Linked DNA regions of Nothobranchius furzeri. The protein of the gene in region 2 interacts with the protein of the main gene of each other region in a pairwise test. Links are inferred from orthologs where the notes say so. Each region holds a gene or a part of one and is shown on either strand. Other genes may lie near its edges.

The links.
Region 1: the proteins of B-cell lymphoma/leukemia 11A (region 2) and nr2e1 interact in a two-hybrid assay, tested with the Homo sapiens proteins (2 studies listed by BioGRID). The link is inferred for Nothobranchius furzeri from reciprocal best matches to the Homo sapiens genes BCL11A and NR2E1.

What each region holds. Positions count from the first base shown.
Region 1 is NC_091742.1:2,364,395-2,372,063, forward strand, and holds the start of nr2e1 (nuclear receptor subfamily 2 group E member 1), read left to right. Parts: upstream 1-3,092; 5' UTR 3,093-3,278; coding exon 3,279-3,336; intron 3,337-5,128; coding exon 5,129-5,274; intron 5,275-5,878; coding exon 5,879-5,966; intron 5,967-6,241; coding exon 6,242-6,477; intron 6,478-6,795; coding exon 6,796-6,942; intron 6,943-7,090; coding exon 7,091-7,187; intron 7,188-7,261; coding exon 7,262-7,411; intron 7,412-7,498; coding exon 7,499-7,604; intron 7,605-7,669. UniProt on the Homo sapiens protein: Orphan receptor that binds DNA as a monomer to hormone response elements (HRE) containing an extended core motif half-site sequence 5'-AAGGTCA-3' in which the 5' flanking nucleotides participate in determining receptor specificity.
Region 2 is NC_091746.1:23,913,972-23,921,449, reverse strand, and holds the start of B-cell lymphoma/leukemia 11A, read right to left. Parts: upstream 4,426-7,478; 5' UTR 4,081-4,425; coding exon 4,026-4,080; exon of another isoform or gene 3,576-4,025; intron 2,334-3,575; exon of another isoform or gene 2,272-2,333; intron 2,160-2,271; exon of another isoform or gene 2,032-2,159; intron 1,508-2,031; coding exon 1,121-1,507; intron 1-1,120. UniProt on the Homo sapiens protein: Transcription factor. Associated with the BAF SWI/SNF chromatin remodeling complex. Binds to the 5'-TGACCA-3' sequence motif in regulatory regions of target genes, including a distal promoter of the HBG1 hemoglobin subunit gamma-1 gene.

The sequences.
Region 1 (7,669 bases), on a different chromosome or scaffold from region 2:
GCAGCTAGAGCACAATTGTTCCAATTACAGTTAACTGGAAATAATGTTTCTAAAATAAATGAGGGTGTTTGGCTAAAATGTTTAATTTCATTAGCATGAACTGTTATACCTGACAATAAATTACAACCATATTCTCTTAAATAAACAGGAACAGTTTTTTTATCGTGATGCACAATTTAAAGAGCTAAATTACTTAATTCGTGATTTTTTACTGCTTTGGAAATGGACCAATAACACTATTTAGAAAAATATATAAATAAAGGTTTCATATGTATGAATTGGTGTGCAACATAAGAAAACATTATTTATTATGATATTGTGACGTCTTAAAGCTGCTTTCTGCAGCTCATAGAGCACACACGTGTGGTCTCTCTGGTTGACTTTATCAGACTCTTCGTTGTTAGAGTCCATCCTAGAGCATGTCAAGTATCTGCATACTGATGCAGAACCCCCCCATCCAAGAAAACAGATACACAATCCAGTCCGCCTTTTGTCCGCGTGCTTTCATTGACTGCTGGAGAAGAAGGGAGTCACTCATAGAAGAACGTGAAAGAGGGAAGCCCCGGCAACCATGATGCTGGTTATGTTTGGGTAAAGGCTATCGGTGAATGACGAGGATTAGGACGAGTTAAGGAGATTATGTCACACATTCACCATTCACACACCCTGACAGCCACCCACACACACACATACATACACACGTGCGTGCGCGCGCGCGCACACCACAAATTGGGGAATCTTTCTTATAAGTAATTATTAAAAGCCGTTTTATTGGGAAAACTAAAAGACAACAAACTTCCGGTTGAAAGCCAAACTCTTCATTCAGGAGAGTTAGTGCGCTGATTTCTGCTCCGGCTCGTTAGGCTCCAGCAGTAGCAGGTCGGCGGACACAACAATGGCAAATTGCAATTAACTCCGCCTCTCCGCCTCGGCCCTGCTCCTCCGCTTAAATCGACACTTTGTGAGTCCATATGGCCCTCGGTGCAGCGTGGGAATGAACACAATTAAAAACGGAATATGGATCTGCGGAGTTACCCTGCGAAGGCACAGCAAGCTGTCAAGGTCAGGGTGTCAGGGAGCGGGCACTGCAGGGCCTGCGCTGACCCCGGACCGAACCGAGCCGGGACACACGCAGTCTGGAGTTCCAGTATCACACAGGAGGGCGACGTAAGCCCCGCCTCCCCCAAACCACTTTAACGTCCAAAGAAACAGTAAACTAAATCATTCATGTTGGTTGTTGCGCCTTAGAGACCAAGAGAGGGAATGGAGACAACGCTGACACAAACGACGGACCGACAACAGGCAGGGTTATATACACAGAGGGAAACAATCAGGGAAACAGGTGACAGGTGTGTGGGGAGTGAGATCATAAGGGATCAGGTGAGTCTAATTAACTGAGTGGGGAAACTGACTTAATCTGCAGCGAACTAAAGATAAGTGAACTCCTAAACCTGAAAACTAGACACCAGAAGAAAAACACTAAGAAGGATGGGATAACTAAATCTGAAGTCACTAAGGGGAAACCGGGAGGGAGCTGCAGACCTAAAGGGGCACAGAAACCTAAGGAGAACACCTAGGGGAAAACCTGGAGTGGGCTGGGGAACACAAGAAGGCACATGAGGGGGACGCAGGATGCAGAACATGACAAAACAAAGAGCACAAAGTCTGCCGGAAACAATTCAAAACCATTTTTGAAGAAAGTTCAGAGAAATATTGTGAATGGCAAACATTTATTTATTTATCAGTTTATTTATTTATTTATTTGTTTGTTTGTATGTTTTATTTATTTATGTGTTTGTTTATTGTGTTTTCTGTATATTTTAGCATTTTCCCCATATTTATCTCCTAAATATTTGTATTAAATTGCAGTGATGAAAGAGTTGACATTTTCTGAATTAATTTTTAAATCCTCCTTTTTAACATCTGATGATTTATTTTATTTTTCCAAAGGATTCTGATTTTTTAAATATTTTTAGATTAAAAATAATAATTTAAATAAAATTGCTGCTTTTTAATAAGTCTCTGCCCCTCAGATCTACCTCATTATTGAATCGATTGCAAAAAAAAAAACCTTTAACAGGCTCCGGTTCAAACAGACTGAAAAATAAAAGCCTTCTTTAAACACGTGCAACAGGTTGAAAAACGCTGCGCGCGCTGAAGCTCGCCGTGGCTTTAAAACGAGCCCTGAACAAGAGAAAAGTGCACGGAACCGCCCCCTAAAAGGAAAAGTCCTCAAGAGAAAAGACAAGAGGATAACTTTTAATTCATTGATGTATGTGGCCACGTTCATAGCATGTTTATCTTATTAATTTTCATATGTGTTACAAGTGAAAAGTTGTTTCCTCTAGGCTCAGGAGAACTGTCTGCATTAGAAACAAAATCATTAAGCTGTAAAAATGGAGCGGAAACAGGTGTGAGAATCACTTTTTATCAATTTATTTTAGCAAATATAATTGGATCTGGAGCTCTAAAATGTTCTTTTATAGGTTAGAAAACTCTTTTTTACTCGTTTTTATAAAAATGTGGGGAAAATTAGAATCAGTCTATTTTTATGTAATTTTGTTTTTATCCGGCTGCAGAATTTTAAATAAAATACAATGATAGACCACAGGATGAAATACTGCAAAATAATAACTCCTGCCTTCCCCTCTATGAATCGCAGCACATACGTGTGCGCGCGCGTGACGTCAGACTTGAGTTTGGTGTAGAAAGCCAAGGGGATGAAGGAAGTGGAGATCTCCACCCTCTAGCCTCCCCCTGACACTTCTCATAAATATTACCAAGACTGATCCAGAGGGGACTCGCACCACTAAGTCACGTCGCGCTCCGCTTCTCGCGCACTTTCACCAAAACAAGAATCAATATTTCACTTTTTCCTTCCACTTGCGGCTTCGGCTCCGTCGGACGCGCTCCAGGCAGTGATTTTGATTCTTTTTTTTTTTCATATTTATGTTGGTTTGTCCCCACACCTCCTCCAACTTTATGCGCGCGCTGTTGCGCACGAAGCTGCCGGAGGGTCTGCTGCCACTTCCGCACCGGCTGTGGCTCTCATCCGGATTCTCCAGAGAGGAAAGTGCAGCGAGTTTTAACTTGGATGTGTCGATCTGAGGTCGCTTCTGTCAAGCTGGGACTTAGACGCAACCACGCTCATCGCTGCTGGTGAGGAACCACAGAAAGCGCAGCGGCGTCGCTGGTTTCCAAGTGGGTTTATCAGGAGAAAAAAAGAAAAAACAGCAGAGCTGTTTGTTTCTGAGTCGGTAAGAGACCGAGGATCCACGATGAGCAAACCCGCCGGGTCAACAAGTGGCTGTTTGGATATTCTGAATGTCAAATCAAGTAAGTTTTACGCATCTTCTCCCCTGAGCTGTTTCAGAAGTTACCCAAAAGGCCCCTCTCTGATAAAGTTTCTGCGCACTGTTTGCACCAGTTTCCTTATAAATTAACTACTTCATTCTCACTAGAAATTTTGTACGTTAAATAATTAAAATTTAAATTAGATTTTGTCTCTGCCAAAAATATAATCTGTATTTTTTGTTATAAATAACAAATAAGACATATATTTTTCATTTATTGGCCAAAAATATGTTTCTATATTCCTCTTCAGAAGTTGATGCCACTTGTTGCTCAGATTTGTTATTCTTATAACTTTTTTAAATTAATGGATCAAATAATTTAATTCTTGATCTTTTGAATTGAACTTTAGACCTAAAATGGGTCTGTTTTATTATATAGTAATGAAACTTCAATGATAAAAATGGGCTTCAGTGTATTAACCTAATACACCTGAAATGCTTTGGTGAATTAAACCCTTAATAGTATTTTTTAATCTGTACATCGTTTAAAAAAATCAACAAAATACATATTTAAATAATAAAAAAGGCCAAAAAACGAATGTTTTGTGGAATCAGTCTATTTAATAGTTATAATTTAACCAGTGACTTTTGCTTTGGCGTGTTTCTATTGTCAGATTTTTGCAACACCTTTTATAATCTACTTTTATTTTTTTATTTCTTTTGTTTATTTTTAAAAATCAGATGAACTGATCAAGTTTTCCTCCTCGTCGATAAAGCTCCTTTTCCAGACATCCAGCAGCTTTCTTCCTTGATGGTGATTACCTTAATGAAACGTGCCATATATTTTCAAGCAATTACTGCGCACAATAGAGACGCACCGGACTCCGGAAGCGGGAAGTTAAATGCAGTTCCTCCTTTCACAACAAACTGTATAATTTTAATATTATTATTATTACAACGAAAGCCACCAGCGTCTGTTTTAAATTCTTATTTTTATTTGTTTACAATTTTCTTTAAATGTTCAAAAACAAATATATTTTAAAACCCTAAAAGTTCATAAATCTCTAATAAGTGCGTAATTGTGGTTTAAAGCTAAAACTAAATCCTGCACGAGTTTCTGATTGAGAACAAACATCCAGCCGGAGTCCTCTAACTCCCCCCTGAAGTCATTGTTTTTGCTCTTGAGTAGTGATTCCCATGCTACCCTTTTTGACGGGTCACTGGTGAATCAATGAGCAGGTGGCAAAACGTCAGTGTAATTACATAGACGGCTTTTCCCTCCACAGAGGCTCCCTCATATGCATACAAATATACTTCTTTTTAAGAGATTTGAATACAAATCTGCAGACCAAAAAAAATCACTTTTTTCAGCTACACTGAGGTGGATTTACATACACTTCATTTGAGTTGGTGAAACGAGTTGGTACGCATTATTCTGCTGGTGCAGTGTCACTCCCTAATCCTGGGGCCTATAGACCTGCGGGATAAAGCAGCTGTCGAGTCCCATTATGAAGTGGAGTTGGCAGCTTGTCGAGATCCAGGCAGTCAGACGAGGTTCAATGGGGGAAAATCATTAAGTTAACACTTTCCCTTAATGTCTCCATTGTGCGCCCGCGGTCATTGTCTTAGAGAGTTCAGATATGACGCTTCCCACCGGACTTTATTCTGGAAATACTGTGAATTCCCATGCTCAGGCCAAGATCTGGATAAACGAGTCACTGAGGCCTTTTAAAACTACATTTTCTGGGAGTTGCAGGAAAGCTATTTAATATATCCGTAATTTCATCCATCTGGTGGTTTGGCTCTTTTCTGATAAACCTTCTGGCTTCTCCAAGGTCGGATTCTGGACATCCCGTGTAAGGTGTGCGGCGATCGCAGCTCAGGGAAACACTACGGGGTTTACGCGTGTGACGGCTGTTCGGGATTCTTCAAGAGGAGCATCCGCAGAAACCGGACCTACGTCTGTAAATCTGGCTCACAGGTGAGGCGTCGAGGAGCCCGAAACTGGCTGACACATTTTCTGATCTTTCTTTTTATTAAAAAAAAACAAACAGGTGGAAAAATTCAAGCAATCTACAATTTTCCAACTTTAACTGAATCAGAGCAAATAGTGCTGCATTTGTAACATCATCTAAAATGAATAGGTGTTTCAGTTTTGTCCCCAAATGCGCATAATTAGCTTTACGCACGGATTGCGCTTTTACGTGCAGCTCTTTTTCCCTCCCTTTCCTTGGTCTCAGTGGTAAATCTTCCTTGATGAGCCTAATTGTGTCATGCCTGCACCATTAAGTCCTGGGCTAAACACAGCGCAGCTCTGATATATCAGGTGTAATCCAATCTAATGTGATGACTCCGAGGCGAGGATTTAGGCGGCAGAGGGCGGGATCAGGTACTTATCCTGCGGGATGAGGCCGCTCTAGAGCCGCGGGGGAGCAGGGCTGGAACTAATAGCACGATCTTTTACCTGCAGATTTGCCTCCCAGGGGGATAATGGCAAGAGGGGGGCTTTAACTGGAAGCTATTTCTTTCCCCTCCCAACTCAACTCCCCAATTTGTCTCTCCCTTTCTCTCTTTTTTCTTCGCAGGGTGGTTGTCCCGTTGACAAAACTCACAGGAATCAGTGCCGAGCGTGTCGTTTGAAAAAGTGTCTGGAAGTGAACATGAATAAAGACGGTAAATTGGCCTGATTTAATTATCGCTTTGACTAACGCCACGCTGAGGCGTTTGGATTCGAGGTGGATGAAAAAAAGTTTTCTAGAGCTGCTAATCAAGTCTCCAAAGAAGTAGATAATTACCTGCTGTTTGTTTGTTTCAAAGAGGATGTTGTTCCTACTCTGGTGGAGCGCAAATAAAAGTTTTTAAAATCAATTTATGCACATAATTGACAATTTTAAGAAAATCATTTTAAATTAAAATGCGCATTAACGTCCGCTTGTCCCGTTTCACAGCCGTTCAGCATGAAAGGGGCCCCCGGACGTCCACCATCCGCAAACAGGTCGCCCTTTATTTCCGTGGCCACAAAGAGGTGAACGGCTCCTCGACCCATTTTTCTGGATCTTCACTGTCCGGACCTCCCTTCTTCACCACCGTCACGCAGCTGGAGCCTCACAACCTGGAGATGAGCTCAGTGGCCACGACACCGGAGAGACAGGCCATCGTGGGTCTGGCGCAGCCCACTCCAAAGGTCAGCGATGCCTATTACTTTATATTTCCTCTTTTGTGATTCAACTGGAAGTTTGAGCTTTTACAGTAAATGTGCAGGTTATATTTTGATTTCTGTGGCATTTTTCTGGCTTTTCCAAATTTATTATCGGATTTTCTTTCATTCGAGGGTTAGAAGTTGAAATTCTTTTCCTGATTTACATCCTGTAAGAAACATAAATCCGCTAATTAGATTTACCCCCCTTAAATCCACCACAAGCAACACTAATGATTATAAAATCAGGCGCTGGAGCTTGGAATTCGGTCTTAGTTGCGCACGTGCACCTTTGTGTGTTTGCAGTACCCTCATGAAGTCAGCGGAACCCCCATGTACCTGTACGAGGTGGCGACGGAATCGGTGTGCGAGTCTGCAGCGCGCCTCCTCTTCATGAGCATCAAGTGGGCCAAAAGTGTCCCTGCCTTCTCCACCCTCCCGTTATCTGATCAGGTACACTTATGAGATGAACAATCACTGTAAATATGTTTGTTTTAGAGTTTAGATTACTTTTTTCTAGACCCAAATTAGGATTTTGTCCGTAAAACTGAATTTTGATTAAGTTAATATTCGATAAATCAAAAGGATCTTATTTTTGCAGCTGATTCTGTTGGAGGACACGTGGAGGGAACTTTTTGTTCTGGGCATTGCTCAGTGGGCCATTCCTGTTGACTCCACCACCCTCCTGGCTGTCTCTGGTGCGTAAAAGTGTCCAAAGTGTCCAGCTCTGTTATCCTTAATGCTCACATGTCCCATATATTTATTATTAAAGGGATGAACACTGAAAACACAGAGTCTCAAAGGATGAACAAGATCATGTCCGAGATTCAAGCGCTCCAAGAAGTGGTCACCAGGTTCCGACAGATGCGTCTTGACGCAACAGAGTTCGCCTGTTTGAAGTGCATCGTGACATTCAAAGCAGGTGGGGGTTCATTCACCAAGATATAAAATAGGATAGTGAAACTTTAGGAATTTAAAACGAATCCGAACTTTGTTCTGCTTGTTTCAGTTCCCACGCAAGGCGGCGCTGAAATAAGAAGTTTCCGCAACGCAAGCGCAATCGCTGCGCTTCAAGATGAAGCACAACTAACTCTCAACAGTTACATCCACACGCGGTAAGAGCAGAGATAATTTAAAGAGAGTCTTTTCAGCAAAACGTTTAGCCTCAGACATCCCAAAA
Region 2 (7,478 bases):
GAGTGTCTAACCGTGCTGCAGACACGTGTCGTCAATAATTTGGCACTTCAGTGCATCTTAGTTAAAATTTAAATATTCTGCCTAAAACTGGCAGTGTTGCGCCGTTGTCAGGTAAAAACTCTGCACTGTATTTGAATTTAAATCTGCCACTGCTATTGGCTAAGAGGTATGCTATGATGTAAACTGGTACATTATGATGTCACAATGCTGTCGTGAGCCTGTGTGTGTGTGTATTTGTTAGCAGCTCCGCCTTCTCGGTGTGCCAGGCAACAGCATTTGTTGCATTTTTCAAACATGAAGTGAGAGTGGAGTTAGACTCTGGCAGGGGGTGACTTGCTCTTTAAGGAACGGAACAAACATTCAAACGTGCTGGTCAGAGCCAGCCCTCCTCCCTCCCGCTCTACAAATCAGAACACACGGGACGCTGCATGTTTCACAGCCACTCGTGTTGTCGCTGCAGCTTCGTTTGGCTCCCGTGGACGACCGGCAAACCGGCGAGATGCCTTAGGAAGTCCTTCATCACTCAAATCAGCAAAACACCCACAATTAGTGGCTGCAGAGTTCCTCAAATAAACACTTCTTCACTGACAGATAATTACATTCTTCTCTATCGCTTTTTATTTTAGAATCAGAGCGAGTCTTTGCAGGCGCATATTTGAGGGCAGAGAGATAAAGCATGACAGAGTAACGAGCCAGAAAGGGCCGGGGACACGTCTCCGAGCACCACATCAGAGGTCCACGCAGCGCCGGAGCACATCTGTGAGGCAGGACCAACTCATCTCCCTGTGTGTGTGTGTGTGTGTGTGTGTGTGTGTGTGTGTGTGTGTGTGTGTGTGTGTGTGTGTGTGTGTGTGTGTGTGTATTCATTGTCTCCACATGTTTCCCCGTTCTCACAATCGTTTTCAGGATGGCTGGTCTTCATTTAGGTTCATGACTCAGCTGGGAAACCTCACGGTTCCCAAGCGCAGCCGCGGGTATTTTACACCCTGTTTATGCAGATTTTATACATCCAAATTACCAGAAGCAGAGGCAAGCACATCTCAGGGAGCATTTGTTTCCTCCTGGAATAAACTCTACCTGAACCCTAGAAAAGGTTTTCCCTCGCTGCTCGTCCGTTTACCTGTAGCGTTCTCCTGCTTGGGGATTATTCCTTGCAAAGGTGCAGATAAACAATCCTCATCCAGCAACGATATCTGGACCGCCACCTCCACGGGGTGGCGCGCCCTCCGCGGGTGCTGGGTTCGAGAGTGCGATGAGGATGTGGAGAGGGGTGAGGCGAGCGGGGAGGATGGCGGCCTGTCCAGAGGTTTGTCCCCGCAGAGGGTGCCGTGGCACTGTCTCCGTTTGTGTTCGATGAACAGCAGGATGTCGGCCAGGGGGAAGCGGGTGTGGCACTGGCCGCAGGTGAGCAGGTCCTGGTCCCCTTTCAGGAGGTCGCCCTGAGCCAAGCCCAGCCTGGGGGAGTCCTGAGAGTCTCTTTCTGCTAGAACACCTGAGAGCGGCTCAGCTGGAGGGGCGCACAAGAGAAGAGAAATCAGTTGTCATTTAAAGGTTTTATTAGTGTCTGAGTCTCAAGCTGCAACAATCCTTACACGTTTTACAGGAATAGGGTCAGTTTTAAACCGTGCATGTGACATTTTCACGAGGGGGGGAGGTGAAAAGAGCTTCGATGAGGACTGACATGCTCAGCTCGCAGGCAGCAGTCAAACGATTAAGTTGCTTGACCCTCTTTTATTGTGCTGCCAATCTCGCTTTTTTAATGAACCTAACACCTCTGAGAATCAAAAAATAGATTCTAATTTGAGTTCAAGATGATTGGACCCCATTTCGTTAAAAGTGCTGGGATCTTTGTGAACCAAGGTGAGACATGGAGGGGCTGGATGTGGAGTAGGTCCCTGAAGTGCCGCAGAGAGGAGAGAGGGAGCGGTTTACAGGGAAGGAATCTTAGCCGCGTGGTAAACGACATCGGGCGCCCCGACTGAGACGTCGAGATAAGATGTGAAGAATTCTCGCCGCCGGTTCAGCCTTTAATTCTGTACGGGGTCAGACGAGACGGTGGTGAGATAGGGCCTGGTACTCGTGTGTTCAGCTGCATTAAAGATGAAGGAATGCGCCCGATTTCACCGCAGCTTATCTTAACCGGCTTAGGCCGCAGACAGGTGAGGCGGGGAAGGAGGAAACGTTCTCGTCAAACCAAATCATCTCATTCTGATGCCAAGCCAGACGGCTCTGAATAACTTTAGAAACATGATTCTTTTCTCACTGGGCCAGAATATGAAGAAGAAGAAGAAGAAGAAGAAGAAGAAAGTATCATTTCTATAGCTTCTCTCAAGGTAAAAATCACGAGGCGCTTCACAAAAACAAAAATTGTAAAAATATTTTAAAAAGAATTTAGAAAATGTTTAAAAATATATTTAAAATGAGCAAAAATAGACAATTGTGATTAAAAATGTTAAGAAAGAGAGATAAAGTGAACAGGAAAGAGGGAAATCAGTGGATCTGAGGAAGGTGGAATAGGTGGGGAGAGCAGAATAAAGAGAGTGGTGAAGACGGTCATACAAAAGCCAGCTTGAACAAGTGAGTCTTCAGCTGCTTTCTGAAGGAGGTTAGGAAGGAGTTTCCCACCGGGCTCCTGCAGCACGTCGGTTTCATCATCAGGAAAATCATTCAGCCTCCTTTTGTTTGCCATTTTAGACCAACAGCAGTCCCTTTATTAACACCGGATCAATAACGCCACTCTGAAAAGGCCAAAGGGACGGATTTAATGCACGTTTTTCTGCAAAACACAGTTTCAAACACTGTCTGTTTTATAGAAAACCGTGTCAGTTATCTCCAGGATGAGCCTGAAAGTCCTACAGATGCAAACTGTTCCCATCTACTCCGATTTTTTTTTAGCTTATCTTTGGAACAATTTGACCTCAATGCTGTTTGGATTTCTTCAATGTCTAGTTTTGTTTTTCTCTCCTGAAAAAAGGACCAAACATTAAAAATGCAATTCCTTATTTCTGCTAAAACGACCCTTTGCACACGCTTGGTTAAGCAGAACAGGGATGAAGTGGATCAAGTTCAGGTTGGTGAGGGGGGCCATAGGACCACAATCATGGCACGCCCCCCACTGGCCACACTCCCCACAGCTGTCCGAGGAATCATGAGCAGGAAATCTTCAGCAGCATGCAGGAACACATCTACACCAACAAAAGCCCAAATGGTCAGAATAACCTTCAAAACGCAGTTTTGGTTTTCTTCTATCACGTTCTGGCGACGAAACGAAAACATGAGCGTTAGAAGATGTTTCCACGTGCGAACGGGGAGCCCTGGTGAGGCAGTTTGGGGCTTCCTGGTCTCGTTTGTTACCCCCTTCATTAAGGATCTCCACAGTGCGTAAAAGCTCCAATCTAGAGCCAGCCTGCGTTTTGTTCCACGTGCGTAAAACGAGATTTCTGACGTTTGCTGCCCCCTCCAAACAGGTTCATGCGCGGATCTTTATGGAAATGCACCAAAGACACTGAAGGCTAACGTTAAATGAGGATTTTGTTGTAAAATATCAAATTTCATTTCTTTTTTTTCCTTTCCAGGTGCCGCACGCCGCGCCCCTGCGCTTCCAGGAGGGAGTAGACACAACTTCTGTGTCCAAACAGCCGCACATTTGTGCGGAAATGTTCAGTAAGGACGGGATTTAAAAGCCCTGGAAGTTGGAAGTGAATGACCGCAGCGGTGAGTCCGCGCTGCCTTCATTCAACCAAAGGTCTCCGCTCACGAAGCGCGTGCGTGCCCTTTAAAAGAAACCTTGAGCGAGTCGCTCACTAACTCCAGTCAAAGCTTTCTGTCACGTTGTTTTCAAACTTCCACCGGAAGATTCAGCTGAGAACAACCTGCGTTTTTTAGGTTTTCGCACCGGACAGCCGCGTCCTCGTCCGCGCATTCCCCAGGGAAGTCACCCCCCCACCCCCCCGAACAGGAAAATAAGCATAAACAAACAAAGAAGTGGACCTCCGAGAGGTAAAAAGCCGTTTGTTCCCACTTACGCGAAAACTCCCGTTTGCTCAAGTGCTGGGGTTTGCCCTGCTTGCGGCGAGACATGGTCGGTTAGTGGCGGCTCCTCAGCTGGGTTCACATCGGGAAATCCGTTCCTAAAAGGTAGACTCCAAATGGAATATCTTCATTCACGCGTCTGTCATCCAGACAGGAGGAAATGAAGGCGAGATCATACAGAGCGTGATGCGTAACGCGCGACGGGCTGTGCGGCGCTCTTCATGACTTCTGCGCAAAGAGAGAGTGATGGGGGACGGTGAAGCCCCCTTAGCTGCAAGTTCAACTGCGGACGTGACGTTCCTTCGAACTTGAACGTCAGGCGCTGGACGGACCGAGACACAGAAAACATGGGCAGGGCGAAGCAGGCCAGTGGGAGGGGGGCAAGCCTTAATAAAAGCCAATGGACACTCATTATGGACTACCTATGGACGGGAGGAAAGAAGAGACACCCTGAAGACACCAATGGACGAAGGGGATCAAGGGGGGCTGGGCTTCGGGAGTAGGAGTAGCGAGAACGCAGCGCGCAGAGCGCGCAGGGGAGGATCACCTAGATCTGGCTGGATGAATATTCAGCGCGTATGAAAATGTGGATTTGGGTTTTATCAGCATGAGAAATGTTGGTTTCATTCATACAACTGAATGAAAGTGTTTGGAAAAGTTTTTATTTCATTTTAGGTACGTTTGGATTTTAGTGTGAAGAAGATTGCTCATCAAGTCATGTTCTCAAGATTATTTATTTATTTATTTATTTATTTATTTATTTATTTATTTATTTATTTATTCATATAGCACTTAATCATACAATGATCATGATGTGATTTCATCGTTTATATTTGTATCAATTATCTCTAAAATTATCGGTATGGCAATAATCTCCACACACGGCAAATACTTTCAAATTAAAACCAATTTTACACACCAAAAACATTTGCCCTTTCACAATAAAAGATCTAACCAGGTAGAGGCTCTTTGTTGTTATTTTTTATTTGCTGCCCAGCTTTACGGGCCAGGTTTACTGTATTTGTATTTATTATTAACCCTTATTTAACCAGGGGAATCCTGTGAGATCGAGTCGAGTCTCTTTGGCGAAGCTGCCCTGAGGCCAGGCCTTTTTTAGAATACCAGCAGATGAGAGAAAACGATTAAAACTTCGGTCTGAGGTCTTTGTTTTTAACATTTGTTTTCATCACAGCTGTTTGATATTAAAGTATGTGCTGCTCCACATCTCCACGTCTCTATTATAGAGTCTCCGTGAAGTTTCTTCTCTTTAGCCTAAAAAGCATCATTTAGACTACGTGAGCGTCTGGCCCAGCTTCCTAACCCAATGAGTCTATTTAAGATGTTTTAACTTGAAAAAGTGGGACAAGCCGCGTTAATGAGAGCTGAGTTAAGACAAGGGTGTGCTACAGAACCAACATAAAACACCCGGATTGGTCAGCTGGGCCGTAACACCTGAGATCTTATTCTAGTAGGTGTTGGAAGAAAAATAACCTCGTTGTGTTATCTGACTTGATTTCTGATGTTCTAAACAAATCTGATATCTTTGTTCAATTTGATGTGAATGAAATCTTGTGAAGTTTAACCCTTCCCCTGTCCTATCAGGTGACCCCAGGACAGGAGCGGTTTAGTGTTGATGGTGTGACCCTTGGCAAGGGTGAAGAGGTGAATAAAATTAAAAAAAATAACACCCGGGGCCCATCTGACCCAATTAACAATGCGGGAGGGTTAAACCTGATAATAAACGGATTTCAACAGCTTTATTCCGGTTTCACTCTTCATCCCAGCTCGGCGCGTTAGCGCCATCTAGTGGTCATGTGTCATATCTGTTTAACTGGAAAATTAAAGTTAAAAATCCCCAACATGTAGAATTATAAACCTGAATAAAAACGTTAACAGCTCTATTGTCTCAAACCTGGACGGAGACGTTCGTCTGAAGTCCATTTTATACTTAGTTTGTGTTTTTATGTTTCTTTTATAATTTTTGTTCTAAATGTTTTTATCAACAAGTTGTTATCGTCTCAATTAAAACGTCTTAAATTTATGTTATAGAAATTGAGCTTAACTATGACTATAACGAATTTCTTCCTTAGTGTAAGTGTGAGGTTGGAAAAAACTGAACAAAGATAGAAGTGTTTTATTATTAATTAGGTTATTAATAGTTAAACCTAATGATTTAGGGTTGCTCATCCCAAAGTCACCCAAATATCATGATGGGTCTGTTTAACACATCTCTTTTGTCAGCGGGCAGCGCCCTTTTTTAAATTTCTTCAGGGATTTTCTAGCTATTGCTATTATTAGAGATGTAAGACAACACCTTAACAGATCATCTACAGACGACCACGTCATCCTTCTTGATTATCACTAAGTCATGGGTGTGTCCAAATCCAGGCTGCACCCTTCAAGGAAGCGGTCTACCTGGTCGACATAGGCTGGGTTCTTCGTCGACCAGGTAGACCGGAAACAAGCAGCTGTGAACTTGGACGGTCTGGCCTTTATTTATTCCCAGCTCCACCTCGGCGAAGACCCTTTCATCTAGCAATCATGACAACCCTGAACCAGCTGCAGAGAATGGAGATAGAACGTTTGTCTAGAGTTTTCATTTCTTGGAGGAGTCACAGCAGTTGTACTTCAGATAAAATCTCTGTTAAATTACTTTAAAAGCCCTGAATCTAAACTTTTTAATGGAGCAATATGTAAGAATTTTACAATGAAATGATCACAGACCCGTCTACTGTCTCGGTCATGTTGGAGGGAAGGTTTTACTGAAACAGATTTGATTCTTAGCCGGCTGGTTGTCAGTTTTTCTCCTTTAAAACGACAAAGTAGACGTTTCCACTGTGAGTTTGTGAGGTTGATGAGTCTGCGCTGAGCTAAAGCTACTGTGCATTTGTCATTCGACTCCATCAGGCAAGAGATTCAGAGCTGTTTAAAGAACTGAAGCCAGTAAACAGGAGCGACCCAGAAGTTAGTTCCTGCACCCCTCAGACACCACGCCATCTTTTTGTTTCACTTTAATATTAGGTTAAGCAGACTAGAGGCTAACATTTAGCTAACAATGCTAATGGTTCATTAGAGTCAGTTCTAAAAATATCTCAAGCTAATCTTTCAATCACCAACAACTCAATTACGGTGAAGTATGTGTGTGAAGTGAGTGAATCATGGGTTGTTTCTCAATATGCTGCTTGTCAGAACTTGTGTACTCACGTCGTTGTGAGACACCATGTTGACTGATTAGTGTTTGTTGTTAGCCTTAAAGGCAACCTGCTGGCTTGATCATCAACTGTAAGTTGCTTGAACAAAAGCGTCTGCTAAATAAAAAACATAAAATTCTTTAGCGATGGTTCCAGTTCTAAGTATGCATAATGGCAAGTTCGCTCAAAGCTCCTGGATGTCTTTTCGCTCCAACCAGTGTATCAACGACGCATCAACACATCCTTCTGTGGACT